Linked DNA regions of Mus musculus. The protein of the gene in region 2 interacts with the protein of the main gene of each other region in a biochemical or structural test. Links are inferred from orthologs where the notes say so. Each region holds a gene or a part of one and is shown on either strand. Other genes may lie near its edges. The genes, in order: Rnf41, Erbb3, Nrg2, Sh2d1a, Txk, Tns3 and Bcar3.

Region 1 (4,276 bases), about 160 kb from region 2:
ACATATATACTTCTTTATTCAGCACATATAACTACAAGCAATGCCAAAAATCCCACATCAGTGGCTATACAGAATACAAATCCATAGCGCTTGCCCTGTACAGTCCTTTAATGTTTCTGGAGTGACTTTACTTATATGATATCATGTAAAAACTATTCTAGAGGCCAGGGAGGACAGTCCATGCCTGCATTCCCAGCACTCAGTAGGTGAAATAGGAGAATTTGAGTTCAAGGCCAGCTCAGGCTACGTAGCAAGTTCCAAACTTTGTCTCAAACAAACCCAAAACTGGCCTGGGGATGCAGCTCGGCTTACAAAGCACTGGGACTCAGTCCCTGGCTCTGTACTTGAGAGAGCATGCCTATAGTGCCAGGGCTGGAAAAAGTCAGAAGACAGTGAGAAAGCAGGGCTTTAGATCATTCCCGGCAGGGATGTAAGCCTGGAGTACTCAGATCCCCAAACATCCAGACTCTCACAAGGGAAATGTTTTCTCACACAGAGAATACTCAGTAATGTCGCTATAGGTGTAAACTGAAACACCCCTGAAGGGATAAGGCTTTAAAAAAAGACAAAGGGGTGGGGACTGAGAGAGCGGGTTTACTCATAAACAGGAAGAACGAAGGCAGGTACGGTAGCTCATGCCTGCAATCCCAACACCCAGGAGGCTGAGACAGGAAGATCACTGTGAACTCGGTCAGGAGAGGCTACCAGGCAGGACCTTTTCTCAATTGGGAAGGAGGAAGAAAGCAGAGATAGTGTTGTTCTAGGTAGGCAACTTGGTCGACCAGGAAGCAAAAAAAAACCAGGTTGACCAGGCTCATGCCTGAAAAGATGGGACTGAGGGCTATTCCAGGGCCCTGAGAATCGGAGTCAATGAGACACAGCATGACTAATTAAACTCCCCGGCTCGTTATCCTGTGTGTATCAATAGTGAAAGGGCTAAGTTAGGAGAGTACCTGATGATCTTTCATGCAGAACACAAAGGCTACTGGGTCTCCTGAATTGGGTACATGTGCTCCTAGTTCAGTGTGTCTTCTCAGTGAATGAGAGAGATGTAAAGCCCAGAATTTTTCTTCACTGTGGTCCAGAGAGGAGAGAGTTGATGTTCCTCCCCACCCCACATAACACGGGAGGAGGAATGCTTCCTTCCTTTGAACAACACTTCATTTCCCAACCATCTGGCACATGCACCTGTACCTCAGGAAAAAAAAAAAAAAAAAAAAAAAGCTTCCAGGAACAGGTACTATATTGGCTGTGCTTGGTCTCCTAGGGACAAGAAATTCCAAACACAGAAACCAAAAAGCCTCCTGTAATGGGAAAATTAACCCTTAGGAAAACAGACCAGGAGTTGTAAGACAAGCATTGAATCAGGAGAGAGGGGGAAGGAGGGTGGGCTTGGATTCCAGTCCTAGCTCTGCCATCCACTGACAGGACAGCTTCAAACAAGCCGTGTAGCCAACTGTCAAACAGATATGACACTTGCATTTTCTAACCTATTGTCCTGCAAATCAAATGAGATAAACTCTGAGTGCACGTGTAAGACTGCTGTATTACTTGTTGCAACAGAATGGCAAAATAAACTCACAGTGAGAACCAGAGGAAATGCTTGAAAATGCTTGTTCCTTCTTTTCAATCACTGGGAAGTAGGCCCTGCCACAAGGTTTACTGAAGACACTGCATAACAAATGCACCCCTCACCCTCCCTTGGCACTATCCAATCCCACTCTTTCTTGGGGGAACACTAGTAGCCACCCATCCTGCTACAGTAGTTAAAACTACTGTATAAGAAGTAGCTGCCAAGATTCTCATAGGTCAATCTCCCAAGAACAGTGGCCTTGGTAACCATCACATTTGCTACCAGTTGAAATGAAGTTTCATGAAATGAAGTTAGTGTACCAATCCAAAACACCCTCATCCTGCTTTTTCAGGTCTTTCTCCTGCCCCTACTCCCACCCCCCCTCACTCTCTACCCCACAAATGCCCTGCCTCCTGGACTGGGGTGGGCTTTCCAGTGTATTAAACGAGTGGATGGATCGTGCGTATCAGAGAGCGGGGCTGCAAATCATTCAGGGTCAAAGATGTAAGGAATGTAAGAGTCCTCCACGGAGAGGCGGGAGGGGAGAGAAGCGGCGAAGGAATAAAAGAGAAAGACAAGGCTGCCAAAGACAAGGCATGGGAAAGAAGCCAAGCTATGGCGCTTGGAGGGCGGAGGTTTGGGTTCCGCGGTCCCTGCCAAGGCTAGCCCCCAGAACGTTCCCTTCGCCTCCAGGCCTGTCAATCATTGCCATTTAAACTCCATGTTGTCCCTCAGCCCCAGCAATCAGCTCCTCCCGGGTCCTCAGGCTGGCCCAAGGCCACTCCCGCACTTCCCGAGGCTCTCCCTACTCCAGAGGATCTTCCAAAGCTCCAGAGCCCCCAGCTAGCTCACCTCCCGACTCCTCCCAGCTGAGCTCCCTTCCTCCATTTTCCTCCTCCTCTCCACCCTTCCTCCCTACCCCCAGCACTTCGGACCCAGGCACCAATCCACAGGGACCTCGCCCCCTCTCCCCCCCAACCCCCCAGGGTTAGAAGCTCGCCCAGGCGCATTACGCACCACCCGGAACGCAGCCTGGTTTCTCCGGACGCGGGGCCTGGCTGCAGCTGAGGACACGGCGGCCGCGTAGCACACTGTGTGCCCGGTCTCAGCCTTTCCCCGTAGGGGAAGGGGAAGGTAAGGATGGGGAAGAAGGTTCCGACCACTCCTCGCTGTCTCGGGTTAGCCCTTAGCCACGCCCACTGCTGCTACGCAACGGGGCGGAAGCTCGTCACCAAGCCCCGCCTCTCTATTTAACTCGGCGGCGCCTGGATGCTCCTTGCGAGCGGCCTATGAGAGGCGGGGGCTAGCTGGGCCTCCGCTCTGGGCCGGAAGTTCTTAGGACGGACAGTGTAGCCTTTTGGGAGGGAGGGCTCTATGTGCTTCAGGTGTGAAGCTCCGGGGCGACCCTGGGTGTCCCGCCTTGCAGAGTTACTTGGTGCTGGGTGGTGCACGGCTCGGGTGCCAGACCTGGTGCAGCGCTGGGACGAGGTCGCCGCGGGGCAGCTGGTCTGCAGCGTGGCCTGCTGTCCTCCCAGCCCTTCAGTTTCCAGAGCTGTGGTCAGCATCCCGGAGCCTCCCGACCTGTGACTCACAGTCATGGGGATGGATGCTGCTGTTAACTTAGGAGGCCGCAGGATGGAGAGGGAGGGAGTGTCTCACCGCAAAGCTTTGATCTAGGGTGCTGCAGGGGTCGTCCACCTCCCAGCCACACACTCTTGTAGTATTCCTGATGGCTCTTCAAAAACTCAGACCGCCCGAAACATTAATGGATTTGATTTCCTAAGGCTGCAACACTGTGGTTAGGGGAAATGGGTGGGAGAGAACCCGAGGAGAGTCGTGGTGGAGTTTAAAGCGCTCTGTGTTAGGTAAGCGGGGAAGCAAGACAAGGAATGCAATTACATTACCTCTTAGGCTAATCTGGTGTCAAATAGTATTTGTTGTAGATACTCTCTTTTTTAAAGGGCAATTCACATTAGTACATATGTAACTAGCTTATTCGTGAGAATACAGAGCTAGCTGCTTCCTTTGAAGACAATATGACGAGTACCAGAGGAAACTTAAGCTTCTAGGTGTCTCTGAGATACAATAAAATAAGGAAACAGGAATCGGATGTGCCTTTGTGAACCAAGTCAAACTTGCTTCCCTCCCCTCCCTCTCCCCTAGTCAGGGTTTCTCTTTGTTGCCCTGGCTGTCCTGGAATTCACTATGTAGGATAGGCTGGCCTTAAACTCAAGAGATCCGCCTACCTCTTGCCTCCCCAGTGTCCACCTGGCTTGAGGCTTGCTTTTTATGTTCCGGGTTCAACGTCTTTCAAAGGAGAGTGAATCTGCGTATTATCTTTCTATGGCGAAAATGCTGCTTGTCCCAGAGCCCTGAGCCGAACCGTTCGGTACATTAAAGATGATGTGTAAGCTCCTGCCATGTCCAAGGTACTGGCTTTTAACTAACTTTCCATTTTCATGTGTAAAATGGGCAGTGGTGGCGCACGCCTTTATCCCAGTACTTGGGAGGCAGAGGCAGGTGGATTTTTAAGTTGGAGGCCAGGCTGGTCTACAGAGTGAGTTCCAGGACAGCCAGGGCTACACAGAGAAACCCTGTCTCAAACTCCTTCCCTCCGCCCCCCGCAAAAAAAAAAAAAAGAATTGCCGAGAAAACAAGCAAAGAAACAGACTGGAACTAAAACGTTTTCCTGCTGCATTCCAT
Region 2 (3,500 bases):
CCTCAGGCTTGGCTGCAAGTATATTCATCTGCTAAGCCGTCTTGTTGGCCCAATCCTCTCTTGTCTACTTACTGTCTAAGAAGGTGATTTTCTTTTCTAGGTGTAAGGGACCAGAACTACAAGACTGTTTAGGCCAAGCAGAGGTATTAATGAGGTAAGATCGGCTTGGAGAATGTTGGGTTCAGGAATGTTTGGGAGAAAGGTCAGGGAAAGAACGATGTTATTTGTTCTGCCATATATATATATATATATATATATATGTTTTACCTCATTTATGTCTCTGCACTACTTGCTTGCCTGGTCCCTTTGGAGGCCAGAAGAGGGCATGAGATATCTTGGAACTGTAGTTATGAATCTATGAGCCATTATATACGTGTTGGGAATTGAACATGGGTCCTTCACAAGAACAGCCAGTGCTCTTAAGCACTGAGCCTCTCTCCAGTGGCCCACTCTGCCCTTTTAAGTTTTCATTTTTAGCCTGGTGGTGGTGGTATACACCTTTGAACTCAGTACTCGGGAGGCAGAGGCAGGCAGATCTCTGAGTTCAAGGAACAGTCAGGGCTACAAAGAGGAACCCCTGTCTTGAAAAAAAAAAAACCCAAAAAATTATTTTTTACATTTTTGTTTATTTTGTTTTTGTAACATGGTGTCTCTATATAGTCCTGCCTGGCATGAAACTTGCCGTGTATGCCAGGGTGTTTGATAACTCACAGACATCCTCCTGCTTCTGGGTCCCAAATACCAGGATTAAAGGCATGTAGCACTATGCCTACCTTTAAAAGTTATCTGTTTTACTTTATATGTATGAATAGTGCCTTAATGAATGTTTGTATGTGCACCATGTGTGCCCGTGCTCAGGGAGACCAGCAGAGGGCACTGTGTTCTCTAGGATCTAGAGTTAGGATAGTTCTGAGCCACCATGTGGGTTCAGGGAACCAAACCTGGATCCTCTTTAGGAGCTCTGAACTGCTGAACCATATCTTCAGCCCCCCACCCTCACCCCCTTACTTTAAATAATATTTGTTTTGTTTTTAAAGATTTTATTTATTATTATACATAAGTACACTGTAGTTGTCTTCCGACGTGCCAGAAGAGGGTGTCAGGTCTCATTACGGATGGTTGTGAGCTACCATGTGGTTGCTGGGATTCGAACTCAGGAGCTTTGGTAGAGCAGTCAGTGCTCTTACCCGCTGAGCCATCTCACCAGCCCTAAATAATATTTGTTATTTATTATTTGGAAATGTAATACAGTTATGTGATATCTTTTGATCATACCAATCCACCTTTATCTCCTTCCAGATTACCTTCATGCCCTTCCCCTTCCTGATTTCCTGTCCTCCTTTTCATTGTTGTTATTAATAACACCCTGGGTCTATTTAGTGTCACTGGTATGCACGGGGTATGGGACTGTCCACTGGAGCCATTCTTCCCTTTTATATATATAGTCCACCATCCCTGGACTCAAGAGTCCTGGCTTCTCGAATTCTCTTCCTAGATTAACTTAAACTGGCTTAAAAGGGGGCAAGCCCTGTATCTGGGTTGATTCCTTCAGTGCTCATGGGCATTAATAGAGATGAATGCTAACTCACATGTACACCAAATAAATGACCTTTGTGAAGCCACTGTAAACCCAGGATGCTGGCCTTTTCTGTATCCCACAGCAAACCACACCTGGTCATAGCGGTGACAGTAGGACTGACTGTGATCTTCCTGATTCTGGGAGGCTCTTTTCTCTATTGGCGTGGACGCAGGATTCAGAATAAAAGGGCTATGAGACGCTACTTGGAGCGGGGTGAGGTGAGTATTTATCTAGCTTAACTTTGGGAAGCATCCTTTACAATCTGCTCCCAGGGAAAATCGATGAACCTTGGTTCTCTTTCTCAGGAAATATGGTCCCTCTCTTTGAGGGGATGGTATAGAGCTATGGATACAGCTCAGAATGCTTGCCTAACATGTACAAGGACCCAGGTTCAGTCCTAGCAACACGAATGTACAGTGCACATATGTGTACACTCCAGTCCAAAAAGTAGGGAGATGTTCTCATCTTGTTTTTGCCTTTTGCCACAACGATGAAGAAACTACTTTCCTTCTCTGTGGCTCAGTTTATGTCTCTTAGATACAATAACATTCATCCTTCCAAGGTGATGGGTAGTGGTATGTGCAAGTTCCTTGAAAGCTTAAGCATTTTGGTCCAGGGCAGTAATTCTGGCACTCAGCCAAGGCAGAAAAGATTGCCCTGAGTTCAAGACAAGTCTGATCTACACAGCAAGTCCTCATCTTCGAGGACAGAGGGATAGAAAACCAGAATCAACCTTGCATGAAAAGTCTTCGAGATGGGGGTACCACCATATCTCCTCGATTCCCTCCTCCTACTCAAAGGGAAACCAATCCCTCTTGACCTTTCTCATCAGCACAGCTTCCTCAATCCTATAGTTCCTGAAGTGTCTGTTGTTCCTCAGTGAAATTATGAAGCTTTCCAAGACTAAGGACTTATCTTCTTACCCTAGGCTCTGAGCTCTGCTGCTCTTGGTGCAGAGGCAATAGGTGGGACTAGGCTTGTGGGAGTGGGCTTTTACAAATAACTCCTTCCTGTCCACCCCTCAGAGCATCGAGCCTCTGGACCCAAGCGAGAAGGCAAACAAAGTCTTGGCTAGAATCTTCAAAGAGACAGAGCTGAGGAAACTTAAGGTGCTTGGCTCTGGTGTCTTTGGAACTGTACACAAGGTGAGTGACTCTTGGGAAGTCTAGAGAAGTGGGAACAAGATGCCAGGGAAAATGGGAGAAAGATTTTGGCAGAACACTGTCTGAAAAGAGTGATTTTTTTTTAAACCTCCCTCCCTCCCTCCACTTCAAACTTTCCAGGGGATTTGGATTCCCGAGGGTGAATCCATCAAGATTCCAGTCTGCATTAAAGTCATCGAGGACAAGAGTGGGCGGCAGAGTTTTCAGGCTGTGACTGATGTAAGTTAAAGAAGGGACTTCATCTGTAATCTTCAGACTCCAATTAAGTGGATGCCATAATGAGAGAGGCAGTGTTGGTTTCGGGCATGTAGGCATATGATCTTGTGTTGGCAAATAGTGTGTTAGATCCATCTTAGGCATGAGTGTTAGGGGACCTCTGGATTGGGTGTGCTTTTGTGGAGTGTATGCAAACCCGTTACTTCCTGGCTAACACCTCTTATATTTTGCAGCACATGCTGGCCGTCGGCAGCCTGGACCATGCCCACATTGTACGGCTGCTGGGACTGTGCCCAGGGTCATCTCTGCAGCTTGTCACTCAGTACTTGCCTCTGGGCTCTCTCCTTGATCATGTAAGACAGCACCGTGAGACACTGGGACCACAGCTGCTGCTCAACTGGGGAGTACAAATTGCCAAGGTGAGGGGAGTCAGGGGAGGCCTTTGATAGCAACAGCTTAGCTGGGGAAGGTCGGGGTTGAGGAAGGAGGATTAAGGGTTTGAGGTCATGAGTGCTGTCTTCAAGGTGTGGCCAGCTGCTATT
Region 3 (2,655 bases), on a different chromosome or scaffold from region 2:
CTTGAGGTGCCTACCCCGTGTCACTTCCCTGTGGTAGCCTTTGGATACAAGAAGGCATGTTCCCCTCACTCAAGCCAAGCCAGGGAATAAACTGTCACTGCAAGAGCAGTGAGCTCAAATCCAGGTAGTCTCTGAATGGTGGCTAGTGGTTCCTGGAATTAAGCATACTATTCTCTGCCTAACCTGGATTCGAATCCCAGGGACAGGTACCCAGGATTCACACTGGGAGGTATTAGCAAGAAACAGGCCTTCAAGGACCTGGGGATCATCGGCTCTAAGATGAGACACCTAGTGGTGGAGGAAGGAGTTAGTTGATTCAGAAAGAATGAAACAGACCTACCACATTTTGGTCATTCAGTCCTTGGCACTTCAAGTCTGGGTCCCCTTTTTCCTATATGTAGTATAGCCCTCACCCACAGATGCTACAGAATAGATGAGACCACACATAAAACACTCCAACCTGAGCGTGCCTCGGAGACTGTGAACGTCCCTACAGTACTCCCCTAGTACATTTCTGAAATTCTCCAGCATCATACTGGAGTAAACACTACATTCATCTGTGCTTAACAGATAAGAAAAGGCTGGGAGGTTCATGGAAACTAAACGTGGTCAGAGCCACGGCTCTCACTCTTATGGACACTTTCTGGTTGGAATCTCTGGTGAACACCAGCACTGCACCCTGACTCCCGACCCTCTGTCTCTCCCACAGGTACGTGTCAGCCTTGACCACGCCCGCTCGCCTCTCGCCCGTGGACTTCCACTACTCGCTGGCCACGCAGGTGCCGACTTTCGAGATCACGTCGCCCAACTCTGCGCATGCCGTGTCGCTGCCGCCCGCCGCGCCCATCAGCTACCGCCTGGCGGAGCAGCAGCCGCTCCTGCGGCATCCAGCGCCGCCCGGCCCGGGGCCGGGGTCGGGGCCCGGAGCGGACATGCAGCGCAGCTACGACAGCTACTACTACCCTGCGGCGGGGCCCGGGCCGCGGCGCAGCGCCTGCGCGCTGGGAGGCAGCTTGGGCAGCCTGCCCGCCAGCCCCTTCCGCATCCCGGAGGACGACGAGTACGAGACCACGCAGGAGTGCGCGCCCCCGCCGCCGCCGCGGCCGCGCACGCGCGGCGCGTCCCGCAGGACGTCGGCGGGGCCGCGGCGCTGGCGGCGCTCCCGGCTCAACGGGTTGGCGGCGCAGCGCGCACGCGCGGCGCGGGACTCGCTGTCATTGAGCAGCGGTTCGGGCTGCGGCTCGGCGTCGGCCTCGGACGACGACGCGGACGACGCGGACGGGGCGCTGGCGGCCGAGAGCACGCCATTCCTCGGCCTGCGAGCGGCGCACGACGCGTTGCGCTCGGACTCGCCGCCGCTGTGCCCCGCGGCCGACAGCAGGACTTACTACTCCCTGGACAGCCACAGCACGCGCGCCAGCAGCAGACACAGCCGGGGGCCGCCCACGAGGGCCAAGCAGGACTCGGGGCCCCTCTAAGGCCCCCCGCCTCGCCCGCCCCACGTCTCCAAGGAGAGCGGAGACCACCGACTGGAGAGGGAAAAGGAGCGAACAAAGAAATAAAAATATTTTTATTTTCTATAAAAGGAAAAAAGTATAACAAAATGTTTTATTTTCATTTTAGCAAAAAAAATTGTCTTATAATACTAGCTAACGGCAAAGACGTTTTTATAGGGAAACTATTTATATGTAACATCCTGATTTACAGCTTCGGAAAAAAAAAAAGAAACAACAAAAAAAAAAATAAGAGAGATGGGCCAATTTTTTGACTCTTTAATAGAAACCTATATTGTGGTGCCTTTTGCTGTACGCTAATCTGGGGCTCCTGGAGAGCCGTCTGGGGTGCAGTGTGAGGGTGGGCGCTTGTAGGATCCCAAACTGGTGGGGGTGAGAAAGGGCAGGGAAAGAAGAGACTGTGAGGTTCTAATGGCTCTGAGGAAAGTGGACAATGAGGAAGAAAATGAAGATAAGATGTAATTGTATTTTCCCCAGTCCTGAGCAGAGAAGGCAGGGATGTTAGCCTTAGAGCTGGAATTGAGATTGGGTTATCTCCAAGGACACTGGCCTCCCCGCTACAGCAACTAGAATGGGGAAGGGTCCTCCCCAGCCCTCACAGCTGCTAAGGGAAAGAGGACAGAGAAGGCTGTCTCCCCACCAGCCCCCTGCCGAGGGAGGGGGCAGCTCTACCAGGGGCCCAACCTTCAGGGCTCCTCCTCCCTGGCGGCCTCCAGGACATCCTCTGTCCTCTGCAGCGCCTTCGTTTACAGGTCGTCTTTTCTATTTTACGCCTGCATGTCCTTTGCATTTCGGATTCTTTAGATTGAATGCATGGTCACGCTGGGACCCAGAAGAGCCACTCCGACAGTGTATTCGATTCCCCTTTTAGCAATAAAGTAACACCATGTCCTTCTCACAGCCCAGCTCCCAACCCACCTATGACTTCCATCTTCCAATCCTGCCCTCCCCAGCCAGCCCTCACAACTGGATCCAATGCTAATTTGTCAAAAAAGGCAATTGTCTAAAAAGCAAACAAAAATCCCAAACAGAAACAAATGGGAACCCTGACATGTCCGAACACCTGACTGTTGACACTTGAACATTTTTATATTATAAATAAAATCAGAAATAACTCCTGTTTGACTGTGTGTACCTAGGT
Region 4 (4,033 bases), on a different chromosome or scaffold from region 2:
ACAAACAAGCATCTTACATTTATACAGCATCCCCGGTGAGTGAAAACCAGAAGGCTGAGAATTTCCTTACATGGTTCCGGCCTACATACCAAAATACTAAGGTTCCTTCTCTTCAAGATTTCACTTACAGCCATCTTTTATAACAGAGGAAACAACAGGTTTCTATTTTACACGGATGTAAGGTGAAGCCCCAGAGAATTTGAATGACTTCCTAGAGCCCCCACCCTGGCTTCTTGGCAGCCAGATGCCCTTCATAGTGAAGAGCATATGCCTGAACAGTTAGTCGAATTCCAAACTGTTTGCTGAGTGCCTATTATGTACCAGGATATAGTCCTGGTAGAGGCAATGTTTGCTCCTTTGTGAAGGTAGTTTCGTGGTAGAGCCCATATATAAGTAAACAAACTTATATTAGCATGTTTAAAGTTCCTTGAATAGAAGAAATGGGATAGCAACCCAGAGAGGGCACTTACATTTGTGGGAATGATCAAGAGATGCAATGTTGAACAGAAACTGGACAATCCTGAGTAGGGAGCAGGCTTAGTTACCTTCCGGGGTGACCAGGTGGGAAGAAAAATTCAAGTGTGAGCTGTACTGTCTCCAGCCCTCTCTCCCCTATATAGGCTTCATGTGAACCTTCTGGTTAAGGAGCATGCTCCTTCTATTATCAGTGTGCCCAAAGCAGCCCGTCTCACTCACCATCCTTCATCTTTTGACAAGTTAAAAATAACTAAGGATTGTCATTGGCTTCCCTAGCCCTTCTTAGGGTTCCACTTGGGAACATAAAGGTCCAAGCCCAGGGTTGGGCATCTAGCTTAATAAAAAAGCATTTTTCAGGCACATATAAAATTCTGGATCCTGTCCCCAACACTGAAAAATGATTTTTCCATATATTTACCTTGAAGCCTTTATGATAAATGTATTTAGCATGATCTTAAAAACTGACAAAAATAAGGCTTGGACATTTTTTTAAAAAAATCAATATACAATGACAATCCTCTCACACCAGCCTCAATTTAATCTTTATTTTCTGGCCCAGAGAGTACGTCAAATTTTTGCAGTGTATCATCATGTACAGAACTCACTACCAAGCATTTTTGTTTTGCTTTCATGTAGACTCTACTGTATTAGAGTGAGGTTTTACTGGGATATATGTATAAGCATACAGTATATATGTGTGTGTGTGTGTGTGTGTATATATATATATATGTGTGTGTGTATGTATGTGTGTATTATGTGTGTGTATATGTGTGTGTATATATATATATATATATGTATATATATATATATATATATCCTGCTTACAGTAGTGCTTGAACTGGGTCCTTCTGTAGACTGCCTCAAGGAGTACCGGAATAATTTGTCCAAAAAGAGACTAATAATAAACCAGACTTCCATTTGCTGAGCGTCAAGCCCAGTGTTCATTTGTCTTTTTTTTTTTTGTACATGGAGGTATTTAATCTTCATTGACCCTTAGAATATGAATCCCATTTAAAATCAATGGCTAAGAGATTGGTGTTGTGAGATAACAACCTTTTGAGTCTGACTACAGTAGGATTTGCTCAGGGAGGTTGTACAGAGCCAAGATGCAGCTGCACCTGGTTCAAAATGGAGTAAGAGGCTGAGACCAGTCTAGGCAAAGCTCAAAGTGGGATAATTACAATGATGTTTTCTCCCTCTCTCTGTTCTTTAAAACTATTCTCACTCCTATCATTTACGGGACACAGCACGTTTTAAAACTCATTATGCCTCTTATAAAACAAGGCAATTCAGCAGCACCAGAAAGGTGCCCCTACTCTTGCATACACATCCTCTTCAGCACTGTACTGCTTTAGTGTTGTTGGCTACTGTTTTTTAATAGGATCTTATACTATGTAGCCCTAGCTGGCATGGAACCGGCCCATGTAAAACCAGGCTAGTCACCTGAAACTCACACACATCTGTCTACCTCTGCCTTCCCTGGGCTGCATTCTGAAAGCAATGGATTCCATTTCCTGGCTAACCACTTCTTCAAGCATTTGCTAGATGCTTTTCTTTTAGGGTACCATTTTCAGTCACATTTGTAGAGAATGATAGAGAAAGACCTTCCTTTGCCTTACTTCATGGCCCAGAATACAAATAGTCCAACTTCCCGGGGCTCCACCATCATGGTGTCTACTTGGAATCAGAGCCGAAGTCCAGAGTATGGGTCTTTCTCAAAGTAAAGGTAAGTTCTAGGCCATGTTTTCCCATTCTGAAGGGTATTCAGTGAAGCTGCCACAAACGCACTGGTGAAATGCAGTTGATAAAATCCGCAGTGAGGGACGTACGTACAAGTACTGCCCACCACATCCCTGGGCTGAGCCCTGGGACCATACGTCAGAGCTGGAAGAGTACTCAGTTCCTGCTGCCTGTATTCCCTAGGTACCTCTGCCAAAAGCTGTCATCCCCTGCCACTCCTCCCAGCCCTCCCCTGAAAGGGCAGGCTACCCATGCTAACAACCTGCCACTACCACGAGATATACTCACAAAACACACAGGCAGTACACGCCAGGGACACTCTCGCTGTCTCGCAGCAGATAGCTTCCATCCAGCCCGGTAGCGAGTAAGAGCTTCTCCCCGGTCTCCCTGCTGATTTTGCCGTGGTACACAGTCACTGCATCCATGCCTAGCAAACTCTTTGATGGGCCCAGAAGAAGGATGGTAAAAAGGAAACTTTGCTGCTGCTGTTGCCGCTGCAGTGGCTTACTGGGCAGTATTGAGAGAGAGAGAGAGAGAGAGAGAGAGAGAGAGAGAGAGAGAGAGAGAGAGAGAGAGAGAGAGAAACACCCTAACAACAGGATGTTGTCTACCTGCCTTAAAACCTCTTCTCACACTTCAATTCAGGCCAGCTCAGCAGTTTAACAGCTTCAAACTTGTCATGGGTTTGATCATCTATTCTCCAACAAAGGTTTGTGGTGGGGGAGGGGGCACGCTGAAAAGGTGAACACTTGCAGTATTTGAGCTGTGCCAGCAACGCAAACAGAGCTTGCACAAAGATGAGAAACTTGCTAGTGCCTTTGTTCTTGTGTAGTTCCTGCAAACTTCGAAGCCATTGACAATGACTTGTCTTAACGAGTGAACAAAAGAATTGGTGATAGAAGTGAATGGGACGTGTTCATCATGAGGGGCAGAAGCAGACTGACAAAATAAAAGCATAAAAGCAGTCAAGCTACAAAACCACAGCAGAACATGGCTGCAAGGCTTCCACAGCATCACCAAGGGCTACTGAACTACAGACTTTGGGACTAGATGGTCCTGAAACAGCTTTCTTTTCTTCAATGCTGATGATGGAATTCGGGGCCTCGCAGATGAGGTCTTCTATCCCGAAGCCATATGCCAAATCCTTGAATACACTTAGGCCAAAACAAGTATTTTTACCTTAATGTTTTGTCCAAAATCCAAAACTATGAAAAAAATTGTCATCATATTAAAAAAAAAAAAGTGTAGATGGATCTAGCTAAGGAGCTTAAGAAGACTAAATTCTTTTGTTGGTACTTCTTTGTTTTTATTATTATTAAAATCACAATATAATCACAGCATTTCTCCCTTCCCTTTTCACCCTTGAAACCCTCCCATGAATCCCTCCCTGCTCTTCAACAACATTGCTATTGTATTATTGTATTATTGCATGCATATATGTATATACGTGTAATTCCTAAACACATCCAGTTGTGCCTGTATGGTGCTATTTGTATGTATGTTTTCAGGGATAGCCATTTGGTAGTAGACGACCAATTAGTGTGCTCTTCCCACGGGTGACCACTTCTTCTACTTCCGATTTTACTCAGCTGTCTGTAGTTCTTCCTGTAGAGCTGCTGGTTTGTGGGCTTTTTCTGTCCAGTTTGGTCTGTCCATTGGTGTCCTGTGTGAACTTCTATATACCCTTTGGCATATGGGGCTAGGCCAGAATCATTGTGGATATAAAATCCATTTTACATCATCGCACAGGTGTTGATAAATGTGTTGTAACTTCTATTCTCATACATAAATGCCTACCTACATCAATGTTAAAAAC
Region 5 (4,081 bases), on a different chromosome or scaffold from region 2:
TTACTATTATTGCTAAGATAGGCCCCACCTATCTTCTCCTTTTATCTGGATGAGCTGTGAAAGGAACCAGGGTGTGCTCAGGAAAGTTACAAGAAGGTTGAGTTCCTGTGTGAACAATTTGAAATACTCTTTCTTATCACATGTAGGTCTCAGGGGGCAGGATACATGTGTGTATGTGTGCATATGTGCCTGTGTGCATATGGGGGCTAGAGTTGATGCTGTGTGTTTTCTTCGATTGCTTTCCACCTTGTGTAGTGAGGTAGAATCTCTCATTGAACTCAGAGCTGGCTGATTTGGCTGGTCTAGCTAGCCAGTTTGCCCTCAGGATCTCTTGTCTCCATCTCCCAAGCACTTGGTTTACTGGTGGGAGACCGTGCTCTCTTGTCAATTATGTAACTTTTCTGGCTCTGAACTTGGGTCCTTATACTTCAGTGTCAAACACTTTGCTCACTGAGCCATTTCCATAGCCCATACAAATGCTTCCTATGGGAAAACAGAACAAATGAAAGGGAGCGCTCACGCTGTAGACTTGTTCATCCAACCGAGGTGCCAATGGGAACCTGTCAAAGCTGAGGCTAAATCTTTTCTTTTCTCTGTCCCTGTCTTTCTGTCTCTCTGTCTCTGTCTGTCTGTCTGTCTGTCTCTCTGCCTCTCCTGTCTCTGTCTGTATCTCTGTCTGTCTCTCTGTCTCTGTCTTTCTCTCTGTCTGTCAAGGTTTCTCTATGTAACCCTGGCTGTCCTGGAACTCTATGTAGACCAGGCTGGCCTTGAACTCACTCGCCTCTGCCTCCCAGAGTGCTGGGATTAAAGACTTTTGCCACCACACCTAGCTTCAGCCAGTTTTTAAAACAGATCTTTAGATTCTCCCCTAATCCCAAACCAAGTCTTTAGAGTCAGTCCTAAATCAGAGGGCCAAACATCCTAGTTTGGATATTCATGATCCTAGAAGTCGATTTTCCCTGTACCACTATGAGCCCTCCAGTAAGTAAAATTTCTTCTTGTATGGTCCTTTATTCCAGTATCAGCACAGGGAAGACAGTTTAAGTTGACTACTATGAAGGCCCCTTTTACCGAAATTCTGTGATTTCTTCAAAGTGTTTTCTAGACACACCCACAGCGTAGGTATAAGGAAGTGCTAACACTTCAGATCTGGATACAGAGCTCTGAAGTTTCTTATGTAGGCCACTGGGTTGTCATTCACACACTCTTGAGGTTTTCAGAACAGGAAATTAGGTGGGGTAAACTTTGCCTGTGAGAAACGTCACAGGCCAACAACTATGCTTTCAGTTGAAAGATGTGTTACCGTGAGTGGAACAGAGCTGAAGAACCAAGGCTTCTGTGTATGGCCAGCAAGCAGGGTCGCCATGATCCTGTCCTCTTGTGAGTAAGATGGGCTTTACCATTTAATGTCACAGCGTGTTTATGGGTGTGTTGCCTACTGGTGACCCCTAGGAGTGGGTTTTGCTAAAACAAGGAATTTGTGAAATCCTAAAGATGATTTCTTCAGATGTAGTGACAGGATTTTGTGGCTTAGTTAAATGTCCACTGCCTCTTGATAAAATTATATACTTGAGAATTGAGAATACAGATGACAATAGCAAAAAAAAAAAAAGTTGTGTACTTAGCATGTGTGGAAATTCGGTCAGTGTGATGGGATATGTTTGTTTTTTGAATGATAATGAACTCAGAGTTGAGGGTGAAGAGATCAGACTTTTCTGGTTTAGCCTCAGCTTTGACAGGTTCCCATTGGCACCTCGGTTGGATGAACAAGTCTACAGTGTGAGCGCTCCCTTTCTGCCTCCTCCTATAGCCGTCACAAGTAAACAGTGGGCAAAGCTGGCAAGCACATCAACTAATCTGAGAGTTGCTTTGAAAGACTTCAAGACGATTTTTGGAAGCACTCCACAGTTAAGACTCAAGAGAGGCTAATTATGTATAGGGGTTTAGGAAAGGAAAAAAAAAAGACGATCTCTGATTTTAATTCTAGATGCCCTGGGAATCAAACATCAGTAGAACTTAGTCATTCTAGATTAGGCCAGAATTCTGATTTATTTTTAGCTGGCAGTAGGAAAAAACTGACCGAATTTTACATATCTCTTTAAGCCACAGCACGTTATTAGGACCTCCAGACATTGGTAGGATTTATAAAAATAATCAAATGCTATTTTTGTTGTGCCTTCCTGAATATGATTTACAGTTTGATTCACTAAGAACAAAACAAGACAATAACAACAACAACAGCAACAGCAACAAAAAGGTTTCTTGTTATCAGAAATAGGCCAAGCAGCTCAAGACAGAAAAAGATACAAAGAATTGTCACGAGTCCCCACCTCCCCAAGGGCAGAATAATGTTGAGCAGATGCAGAATATGGACTTTTAAAGGCTTTGATTGTTTCTCATGAGATCAGAACCAGGGGAAGGAAGGCCATGTGTTATGACAGGAAAGGCTCAGCTACGTGTAAGGCAAGTAGATGCAGAGGCTGTCTAGGGATGAAGTGGGAGACTACTTATCTATGGGGTCTTAGATTTCCCCGTGGCCTGGGGGGGGAGGAATGGTTTTAATGCAATGTCCCTGTACCATCCAGTGTCTGTCTGTCTGTCTGTCTGTCTGTGTCCTTCTGCCATGAGCCATAGCTAAACCACTCCATTTTCTTCTGCGTGAAATAATGAGTATTCGCCATTGACAAGGCACCACCAAGTGCCCTCCAGGGTGTTTTAAACTTAAGGATGCTTATTTGTATGCGCCAAACACATTGACTGTTCAAGGGGCTGCCATGGTGACCTGGAGTCACAGGCTGCTGGAAGGGAAGAGGAGGTAGTTGTATAGAGTGGGGTTTTGATCATAAAGGAATGATGGTGGCCTCTGAACAGGGTCCAAGACACTCCTCCAGTGAGGTTACATTTGTGAAGTGTTGGAATTGCCAGTGTGTTTGGCAGCTAAGTTACCGTGAGAGCAAACTCAGACATTTACTTAGATGGCAAGATCCCAGTACAGCAGCTAAGGATTAGAAATTTCTCCCTTTCACCTCTTCTTGAATGCTTTTAATCTATTGTTTGTGGAAAGAAAAACCATATAAAAATGTTTCATATATATACATATATATACACATATGTATGTATATATATGTGTATATGTATATATATGTGTGTGTGTGTGTGTGTGTGTGTGTGTGTGTGTGTAATCTTATGGTCCAGTTTGCCTGATACATGCCTGGGGGTTCTGCTTAAATGCAGGTTTCTAGGTTCATTATCATCATTTGATCTGAGGGTACAGTAAGAAACTTTGATTGCACTGTATTTCCAGGGCCTCTCCATTCCCAGAGTACTCTCATACCAGCCCTGCAAAGCTAATGGACCATTATTACTGTAATTAATATGAGGATAAGCCGGGTAGCTGGGATAGGCATCCTTTAGGCTGGCCTCTGGTGCTAACTACTTTCAGGTATGATCAACCCCTCATCCTAGGCATTGGACTCTTTACCTCTCTCAGATAGAGTATGTAAAAACAATGGGATGCCACCTCTGAGACTTGGTGCACAAAAGACGGAGCTCTTGTCTTTGCTGCGTCTGTGAACATGGAAGTGGTTTTCTAGCTCCAAGCCAGCAGGGTTTAACTGCAGCTTCAGTGAGCTCTGCTGAGCCGTTAGAGAACTTGAAGGGACGCTGGCTAGCCCAAGTATGGCAAACACAGCTCTGGCAGGCCTTGCTCTTCTTCTCCATTCCCTCTGCCTTTCTAAACAGTTAGATTACACCCTAAATAAACCCCTAAGGTCTATTCGCCTATTTTGGCCACTTCCTCCTCCTGAGGCTGGCCACCAAGGTCCAGCTATGAAAGTATTGAAGTCCAGCAATCAAAAGCCCCCTTTGACTCACCTAATTAACATGCCCAATTAAAATCAAACACCTCATTCTAACACTGGGATTCCCCTTTTACATTTATAAATGGCCATTTTCCTATTGGTCATGTCTGTCTCCTCTCTATCCAGAGGCAGTCCTTTGTGACACCCTTCTGGGACAAATACCTTTCCCCTCCCTCGATCCCTTCCCCTTCTCCCTCATCCTCTGTCTCCTCTTTGTCTCT
Region 6 (3,500 bases), on a different chromosome or scaffold from region 2:
AGGCACCTGCGCCTGAGTCCTGGGTCCACCCACATACACCGCTAGACACATGCAAAGTTTTCCAAAACTCAGGAGGGGATTTTGTTCCTGGAAGAAAGGCGTTTGATTTATTCTTCCCAAGTACAGCCTTCCAAGAACATTCCTTAAGCAAAGGGTCGTAGAGTTTGCTTAAGTGTTTCCACTGAAACCTTAGAACTCTGAATTTCCTCAGAACTGTATTGGGGAGAACACAAACCTACCAGCACTCCAGCCAACGAGAAGATCCTGCTGTTAGTCCAGTGATCCCAGCATGTCCCAGGTAATGTAATCTGGCTTCTCTTCTCACCTCTCATCACCAGACACTGGGATGGCCCTTCCTTTCCACAGCTAGCATGAGCAAAAGTCCCAGCAACCCTGTCCTTTGATAGCAGCCTGCCAGCTAGCTGGCAGTCCACGCAACCCTGACACTGGTTAGGATCCATGCTACAAGATCTTGTTCTTGCCTGAAGGGGAGGGGGCCAGACATCAGCCAGGCTGCAACCTTCTAAAGAGGGCAGAGACCATGGATGGGTCTATACCACAGGGTCTACGTGAACTCAAGCCCTGTCATCACCTAGTAGTCTCCACAGACGTGACAGCAAGGTGAAGCAAGGCCCTGAAGCAAGGGGCCTTGGAAGATGAACTAAGCCATTCTGCCAGGACCCTAAAGCAATAGTCAGCCCACACAGGGACTTCTATCATCAGCATTACTAGCACCCAAGAAGGGGGATTTTCACACGGACTCACTGAGAAGCACAGAAAAGCAACCATGGGAGGAAGGAAGAGATGGGGACAGCCTTCTCCTGCACTGTCTTTCTTGCCTTCCTGGTCCGGGCTCCCAACACCACCCACAGCTCCACCTTACCCGCCACCACCTGCAGCCACTTCATCACCCTCACATAGGCGCCTCACCTTGGCCAGTCCCCTCCAGGGATAACTTTGTGCAGATCCCAGCCAGAGCCTTGTCCCTTCCATTAACTCCCAGACCTTTTCTCAGGATGTTCCGCCCACGTCATACACTGTGGCTTGCTGTCTGCCTTTGCATCCAATGACAAAGGTGTCTCTCAAACCCTCTTGACCTGTGTTCACACACACAAGGAACACCTGGTAGTAATCTGATCCCGAAGCAGGCTTTATCGTCACTCTGATGCAGTCTGCAGGAAATACTCCCATAGACTTGGCCAGAGGACACTGTCCACGGCTACTGAGCTTGGCCTTGCCAGGAAGCCCCTGCTCTGGTGTCCAGTTCCCCTGTTTTAAGGCAGAAAGGCCCACACAGTTTTCTCTTGACAACTCTTACCAACTTCAGAAGGTGCAGTACACAAACGGCCCTCACACAGTGGCTGTCACCCTTGCTGGGCTTAGGTCTTGGTTCTAAATCACAGCTTTCAGGATCCAGGAACCCAGATCTGCTGTGTCTGAGGCCACTCCACACTCTCCACTTTCTGCTCCATGTACCTGTCTCCCTCAGTCATCAAGACCCTCCAAGCTCCTCTCTAACACATGGTGGCTCCTGCTCTGTTTCTACAAGAATGACTCGAGAGCCCAGCAGGGTCTTCTGACTCACCAAGACGCCCGGCACTCTTCCCTAAAGGGACATTCTTGAACTGAGAAAAGTTTCATTGTTGAGCTGATTCTTCAGGCATGGAAACTGAGGCTCAGAGATGTATACATAGGTTTTAAATCACACAGCTGGCAGGTGGCAAAGGAACATGGACCAGGCTATCTGGTGCTTCCAAATGACCTACTGCACTTACCAACAAGCGTGACAAGTATGTGAAATAAGACACTGATTCCTAAGAAGAGGAATCTTCAGGGGGGCCCACCCGGCCCCAAACCATTTTTATAGGCAAGTTTTACACCTCTTTCTCCCCACCTTTCAATTCTGCTAACAAGCTCTTATAGTGCCACAGTATCACCTGGATTCTAGGCCACAGCTTGTGAGAGTAGAAAATGCCGCTCCATCATCAGTTTCAGCAAATCCAAATTCCCAGCTGCATAGATACTTCCTACCTGACACCAACACCCCATCAGCTCACCTTGCCGGCCAGGGCTCCGGCCAGGGCCATCCACAGAGTCCAGCCGGCCACTACACCGGAGCCCACTTCCCACACCGTCAGGACACACAGCTGAGATGCCAAGGGCATTCAGGTGTGTGGGGATGGGCTCAAAGGTGGGGTCCAGCTCCAGGATCAGCCTGTTGAGTTGCTCAATGGACTGATCAATATCCAGAGTAGGAGAGCCTGGGGAGGAGCCAGTGTTCGGCTCCTGATGGACTCCATTCGTGACTCTGTCATCTTGAAATCTGGGCTGGAGAGCTTTACCAGGACAGAGCTGCTGTGTGTCGGGGGGATTTGGCCCATTGCTGATGCCTCTCTGAACAGCCACTCTGCTGCTGGCTCCACGGTTGGGAGTAACTGGGATGTGGGGTGGGGGCTGGGCAAGGCCAGTATTGTCCACTGTGCTGCGGCTGCCAAGCCTGGCCTCCCCATCTGAGGCAAAGCTGTACTGGTGAGCAGCCACCATCTGCTGCTGACGTACCCAAGTCTGGGTGGAATAGTTACTTTGCCCATAGGCCTGCACTGGGGTGGGTGCAGAGGGCTTCCTCAACAGGGGCTGCAGCGGTTTTTGCTCTCGGCCCCCACACATCCGCTCCCGATCGTAAAGGGTGTCTACACCAAGGCCCAGGTCTGGAGAAAGGACACCATTATGATCTTCAGCAACACCATTGCCAAAGCCATCAGACAGGAGAGAGTTCTGGCTGCTCTTGAGACAGGTGAAAGGACCCAGGTGGGTGGACTGGGGCCCTTCAGAGGAGGAAAGAGTACCCAGGCTGTCCACACTGTGAAGATCATGATGGGGCATCTCATCATCTAGAATGTCAGTCTCCCGGTCCTTTAGGGCAGCATCTCCATTCACATGGACCTGGGCTGGTACCACATGCCGTGTCCCACTGTACTTGCTGCGCATATCAGTCATGTCTTTGTGGGAGCTTGCAGAGTCTTCCAGGCCAAATCCACTGAGCAGCTGGTCCAGCTCAGCCTTCTCCTGAGGGCTCAGGCCTCTTCGTGCTCCGGGGGTCAGGCGCTCTTCTGTCTTATCAGTCCTGGCGGAGGCAGTAGAATGACCTGAGTCGCTGCTGACTGACAGGGTGTGGTCTCCGTGGTCTGGACTGCTAGTGGCTGGCATGCCCTGGGGGCTACTAGGGATGCCAGTATCTGAGGCACTCTTCTTCCTCACCTTGGCATACAGGCTGCCATCCACTGGCCCCTGTGTGTGTAGCACTGCAGAAAAAGAAAGAGACAGGCTGTAAGCAAGGGAGAAAAGGAAGTATTACCTACTACAGTGGGCACGCACTTATCTAAACAGATGAGTGGGTCTATAATGCAACTCAATAGTACGCAAGTGCAGTCTCAGCTCGGGTCCCCAAACTCTACACAATCCTCTGCAGAGAAAGCAGCAATAAAACAGGATTCATATAT
Region 7 (3,500 bases), on a different chromosome or scaffold from region 2:
AGATTGTTCCGGGAGTCCAGTGTGGCTAGATAGGTGGGAAGCAGAGTGCCTGAAAATACACACCTTTGCCCAGGGCCCCAGGCTGCCAGGCAGGCAGCAGGTGGCAGTGGGCCAAAGCTGACGTGGGAAAGTCACTGAAGGGCAGCAGGGTAGGGTGACTAGCCCATTAAGGCCACACTGGTCATGGTGAGGTCGCCCTTCCCCCACCTGAAGTGTGTTGGTCGCTTCCTGTGGGAAACTATCCCAGAGCCTCTACATTCCAAAGGCCAATCAGAAGAGCATCTCCCAGACCCTTCCTCGCCTCCCTGCCTGCCCCTAAGTCTGACTTTTGCCTCCCCTGCAGAGAAAAACAGCTCCCAGGAATACCAGCGCTTGCTGTGAGAGTAAACACGGTCCACTTCCTGCACCCTCACTCAACAGCGTCTATGCTTCCAGACCAAGGAAGGGAGCCCCAGAGAGGTTGAAGGTGTCTGCCTAGGGTTGCACAGCTAACCACATGGGAACCAGCATGGAGCCACAGGTTCTGAGTCAGTTGCTGACTAATACATACCAGGCAACAGCTACAGTTTATGTTACTTACATAGTCCTGTATTTCATAAGGCGTTTGCAGTAAAGAAATTATAGTTTATATTTTCTCTTGGCCCAGACAGGAAAGCAGAGAGGCGAATGGACACGCTTACTTATATGAGACACCAGGAGCCGGGGGAGCCAGGGCAATAGAGGGGTCCAGGCTACATCTCAGCTTTCCTCCCCAGCAATTGGCCCTGAAAAGGTGTCTCGTCTCTGGAAGCTAAGTCCTATGCAAATACTGAGCTCCCTTCTCAGCCTTGCCTGTCTATTCTCTGAACACTTCAGCCCAGGAGGCACAGGAGTCCAGTTTCCTCCCTCTACGCTTCCAGTCCTTCAAACCCCATCTGTTTCCCTCCAAGCCAATCCTTTTCCGCAGGGCCAGTCCCTAGCCTCAGCACTGACCCCTGCTGGATGCTGACACACAGCATGTCCACAGTCCCTGCCCTCCCCTTAGTATACTGCCTAGGTGGGCTTTTTCCTCTAACCCTGAAGACCTCAGAAATCGACCCCACCTCCCCCTTCCAGCCTGGGCCCTTGCTGAAGCCTATGCTGGCTCCCCTGCTTCCGTCTCTCCCCACTCTGTGCCTAATGCTACCCAGTTCTGCTTCAGGATCTGCTGTTCACTGTGCCAAACTTTTGTAGCCGGGCAGAAAGCCTCCACCATCAGCGTTGGTGGGGTGCGGTCGGGTTCCTCCTAACCCCATCCCTCCCTTACACAGACCCTCTACTTTAGCCTGGCCAATCAACCCTCCAGGCTCCTCTGGCCCTTGAACGTCTCACATTAAGTCCCTGGAACCCCCTCTTCTTTGCAGTGTCCCCCACATATCCCCTGCTCAGACCCTGTTGTTGTTTTTGTTGTTGTTTTAGTTTTAGAAATGGGGAATCTCATTTTGTAGTCAAGGATGGCTTTGAACTTGGGGCACTCGCCCCATTTTAGCCTCAAAGCACTGAAATTACTCACACGCATCCCGCATCTAGCTCCACCACTTGATTTTGATGCTCTTTAAGTGGGGGTTAATCATGCACACTCGTGACCACTATCCACTGACGGTGAGTGTTCTAAAACCCTCTCCTCCCCTTCGCCTAAGCGAGGCCCCAGCACTCCACAGACCTACCTGAGGAGGTTTCCTCGGGGCAGGCTGTGTTCCCGAGCCTGGATGCTGCTGCCTGTGGTGAGGCTCAGCCTCTTCACCACGTCTGGCCTTCCCTCAGCCAGGCTGCCCTCCCGGCCTCGGCCCGGGGAGGTGCCATAACGCTCCTCCAGACACCAGAGGGGCACTGTCCTATTGATGGGCTGGAAGATGATGGCACCACTCTGTTGGGAGATGGGCCGCCGGTTGCCCACGTAGCAGCGGACCAGCCCCGGGATGGAGTCAAAGCTCTCCATCTCGAATTGGTACTGCACACGGCTGTAGGCCTCGCTGAGCCGCAGGACAGTCCGGTTGATCTTAAAGTGCTGAGCGAGGTTCTTCCACTGACAGGTCAGGACAAAGTTTCCGGGGCTCGACAGGGAGTCGCGAACCAGGAAGTCCCCATCCCGCTGCACAAGGTTTTCAGACACCTGTAGTCAAAATGGTGAATGAGGAGCAGGAAAGGCAAACATATTCACTCAAGAACTTCCAGAAGGCAGTGCTGCTATGTCTGCTGTGTGCGCATGTGCGCGAATGTGTGCGAATGTGTGCGCATGCGTGCAGAGACCAGAGGAGTCTTTCCTTAGGCACAATCGGTCTCCCACAACCCAGGTATCTGCCTCTCTCTGCCTCTCCACTCCATGTATTACCACACCTGGCTCTCCTGATTTTTGTTTTTGTTTTGTTTTTAATGAGGGTTCTGGGGATCGAACCCATATCCTTGTCCTTGCAAGATGACTATTTTACCAACCGGGCCATCTCCTATCACTCCCTTTTTTTAGTCACGTCTTTAGTTTGTTTGTTAAATGACACACTCAAGGACTGTATCCTAGCTGGGTATGGCTCTGCACACGGGTGATCAATGTGCTCAGGAAACTAAGACAGGAGGACTGTAAGTCTGAAGTCAGCCTGGAATACATAATTCATTTGAGGTCATCCCCCTCTCAAATGCAAAACAAAACACCCAAACTATTTATGGACCATCTTCTACATGCCCAGCACTACTGCAGACTCAGGAGACACAGCAATGACTAAGTGTGCTTCCTCGGGGGCTTTGTGGTGTGTGTGTGTGTGTGTGTGTGTGTGTGTGCGCGCGTGCGTGTGTGTATTTGGTATAGCACTCTCGGGACAGACGGCTGCAAGTATGGTGAGTCTGAATATTGTGAAGCTAAGGAAAGAAAAACTTTGGAAGGGAGATGGGCTATTTGGAAGGGTTATTGTTCAAATGAGGGTGGCCAGGAAGATGTCCCAAGAAGAGGACATTTACACAGACTTAGAGAATGTAAAACAGCGGACGAAATGAAGTTGTATGCTCATTGGGTCTGATTTTTTTTTTCCAAAGGGAAGAGGAAGAGGCTATCTGGGTCTGGGTCCCCTAATCATCCTCCTCAGATTTCCGTTTACAGAGCAGGATGAACCCAGGGATGGCATGGTGGATTCTGGACAAGCTAGGAGGCTAGGAAAAAAAAAATACAAAGACATTTGAGGTTTCCTCACCCCACAAAGTTATTGTAAAGATAATCCATTTGCATATGAGAAATAGGCAAAGCACGAGGAGTACAATGCCTGTAATGCAGTGGACAGCCCCACAGGTAGCCACTATGGTGCTGATGTTGCCAGCCATCCAGTACATCATGCTGGAGCCTGACCACCTAGGTTTGTATTCTGCCCCAGCTGTGTGACTAGACAAATTACATAAGTGCCTTGTGGTTCAGTTACATCATCCATAAGATGTAGATAATGCTGTTGCTTATAGAGTGGCTGAAACCTTCAAAGGGACAGTGTTGGCACCCGGCTTCC

The links.
Region 1: the proteins of Erbb3 (region 2) and Rnf41 form a complex in vitro, tested with the Homo sapiens proteins (2 studies listed by BioGRID). The link is inferred for Mus musculus from reciprocal best matches to the Homo sapiens genes ERBB3 and RNF41.
Region 3: the proteins of Erbb3 (region 2) and Nrg2 form a complex in vitro, tested with the Homo sapiens proteins (2 studies listed by BioGRID). The link is inferred for Mus musculus from reciprocal best matches to the Homo sapiens genes ERBB3 and NRG2.
Region 4: the proteins of Erbb3 (region 2) and Sh2d1a form a complex in vitro, tested with the Homo sapiens proteins (2 studies listed by BioGRID and IntAct, with this or other methods). The link is inferred for Mus musculus from reciprocal best matches to the Homo sapiens genes ERBB3 and SH2D1A.
Region 5: the proteins of Erbb3 (region 2) and Txk form a complex in vitro, tested with the Homo sapiens proteins (2 studies listed by BioGRID and IntAct, with this or other methods). The link is inferred for Mus musculus from reciprocal best matches to the Homo sapiens genes ERBB3 and TXK.
Region 6: the proteins of Erbb3 (region 2) and Tns3 form a complex in vitro, tested with the Homo sapiens proteins (2 studies listed by BioGRID and IntAct, with this or other methods). The link is inferred for Mus musculus from reciprocal best matches to the Homo sapiens genes ERBB3 and TNS3.
Region 7: the proteins of Erbb3 (region 2) and Bcar3 form a complex in vitro, tested with the Homo sapiens proteins (2 studies listed by BioGRID and IntAct, with this or other methods). The link is inferred for Mus musculus from reciprocal best matches to the Homo sapiens genes ERBB3 and BCAR3.

Annotation. Positions count from the first base shown.
Region 1 is NC_000076.6:128,410,140-128,414,415, reverse strand, and holds the start of Rnf41 (E3 ubiquitin-protein ligase NRDP1), read right to left. Parts: upstream 2,801-4,276; 5' UTR 2,591-2,800; intron 1-2,590. UniProt on the Homo sapiens protein: Acts as E3 ubiquitin-protein ligase and regulates the degradation of target proteins. Polyubiquitinates MYD88. Negatively regulates MYD88-dependent production of pro-inflammatory cytokines.
Region 2 is NC_000076.6:128,572,636-128,576,135, reverse strand, and holds part of Erbb3 (receptor tyrosine-protein kinase erbB-3 precursor), read left to right. Parts: intron 1-100; coding exon 101-154; intron 155-1,661; coding exon 1,662-1,797; intron 1,798-2,604; coding exon 2,605-2,724; intron 2,725-2,862; coding exon 2,863-2,961; intron 2,962-3,191; coding exon 3,192-3,377; intron 3,378-3,500. UniProt on the Homo sapiens protein: Tyrosine-protein kinase that plays an essential role as cell surface receptor for neuregulins.
Region 3 is NC_000084.6:36,016,737-36,019,391, reverse strand, and holds part of Nrg2 (pro-neuregulin-2, membrane-bound isoform), read left to right. Parts: intron 1-709; coding exon 710-1,478; 3' UTR 1,479-2,655. UniProt on the Homo sapiens protein: Direct ligand for ERBB3 and ERBB4 tyrosine kinase receptors. Concomitantly recruits ERBB1 and ERBB2 coreceptors, resulting in ligand-stimulated tyrosine phosphorylation and activation of the ERBB receptors.
Region 4 is NC_000086.7:42,501,332-42,505,364, reverse strand, and holds the start of Sh2d1a (SH2 domain-containing protein 1A), read right to left. Parts: upstream 2,801-4,033; 5' UTR 2,643-2,800; coding exon 2,506-2,642; intron 546-2,505; exon of another isoform or gene 473-545; coding exon of another isoform or gene 471-472; intron 44-470; exon of another isoform or gene 20-43; coding exon of another isoform or gene 18-19; intron 1-17.
Region 5 is NC_000071.6:72,749,978-72,754,058, reverse strand, and holds the start of Txk (tyrosine-protein kinase TXK), read left to right. Parts: upstream 1-1,281; 5' UTR 1,282-1,364; coding exon 1,365-1,380; intron 1,381-4,081. UniProt on the Homo sapiens protein: Non-receptor tyrosine kinase that plays a redundant role with ITK in regulation of the adaptive immune response. Regulates the development, function and differentiation of conventional T-cells and nonconventional NKT-cells.
Region 6 is NC_000077.6:8,490,036-8,493,535, forward strand, and holds part of Tns3 (tensin-3), read right to left. Parts: intron 3,303-3,500; coding exon 2,058-3,302; intron 1-2,057. UniProt on the Homo sapiens protein: May act as a protein phosphatase and/or a lipid phosphatase. Involved in the dissociation of the integrin-tensin-actin complex. EGF activates TNS4 and down-regulates TNS3 which results in capping the tail of ITGB1.
Region 7 is NC_000069.6:122,506,757-122,510,256, reverse strand, and holds part of Bcar3 (breast cancer anti-estrogen resistance protein 3 homolog), read right to left. Parts: intron 2,132-3,500; coding exon 1,686-2,131; intron 1-1,685. UniProt on the Homo sapiens protein: Acts as an adapter protein downstream of several growth factor receptors to promote cell proliferation, migration, and redistribution of actin fibers.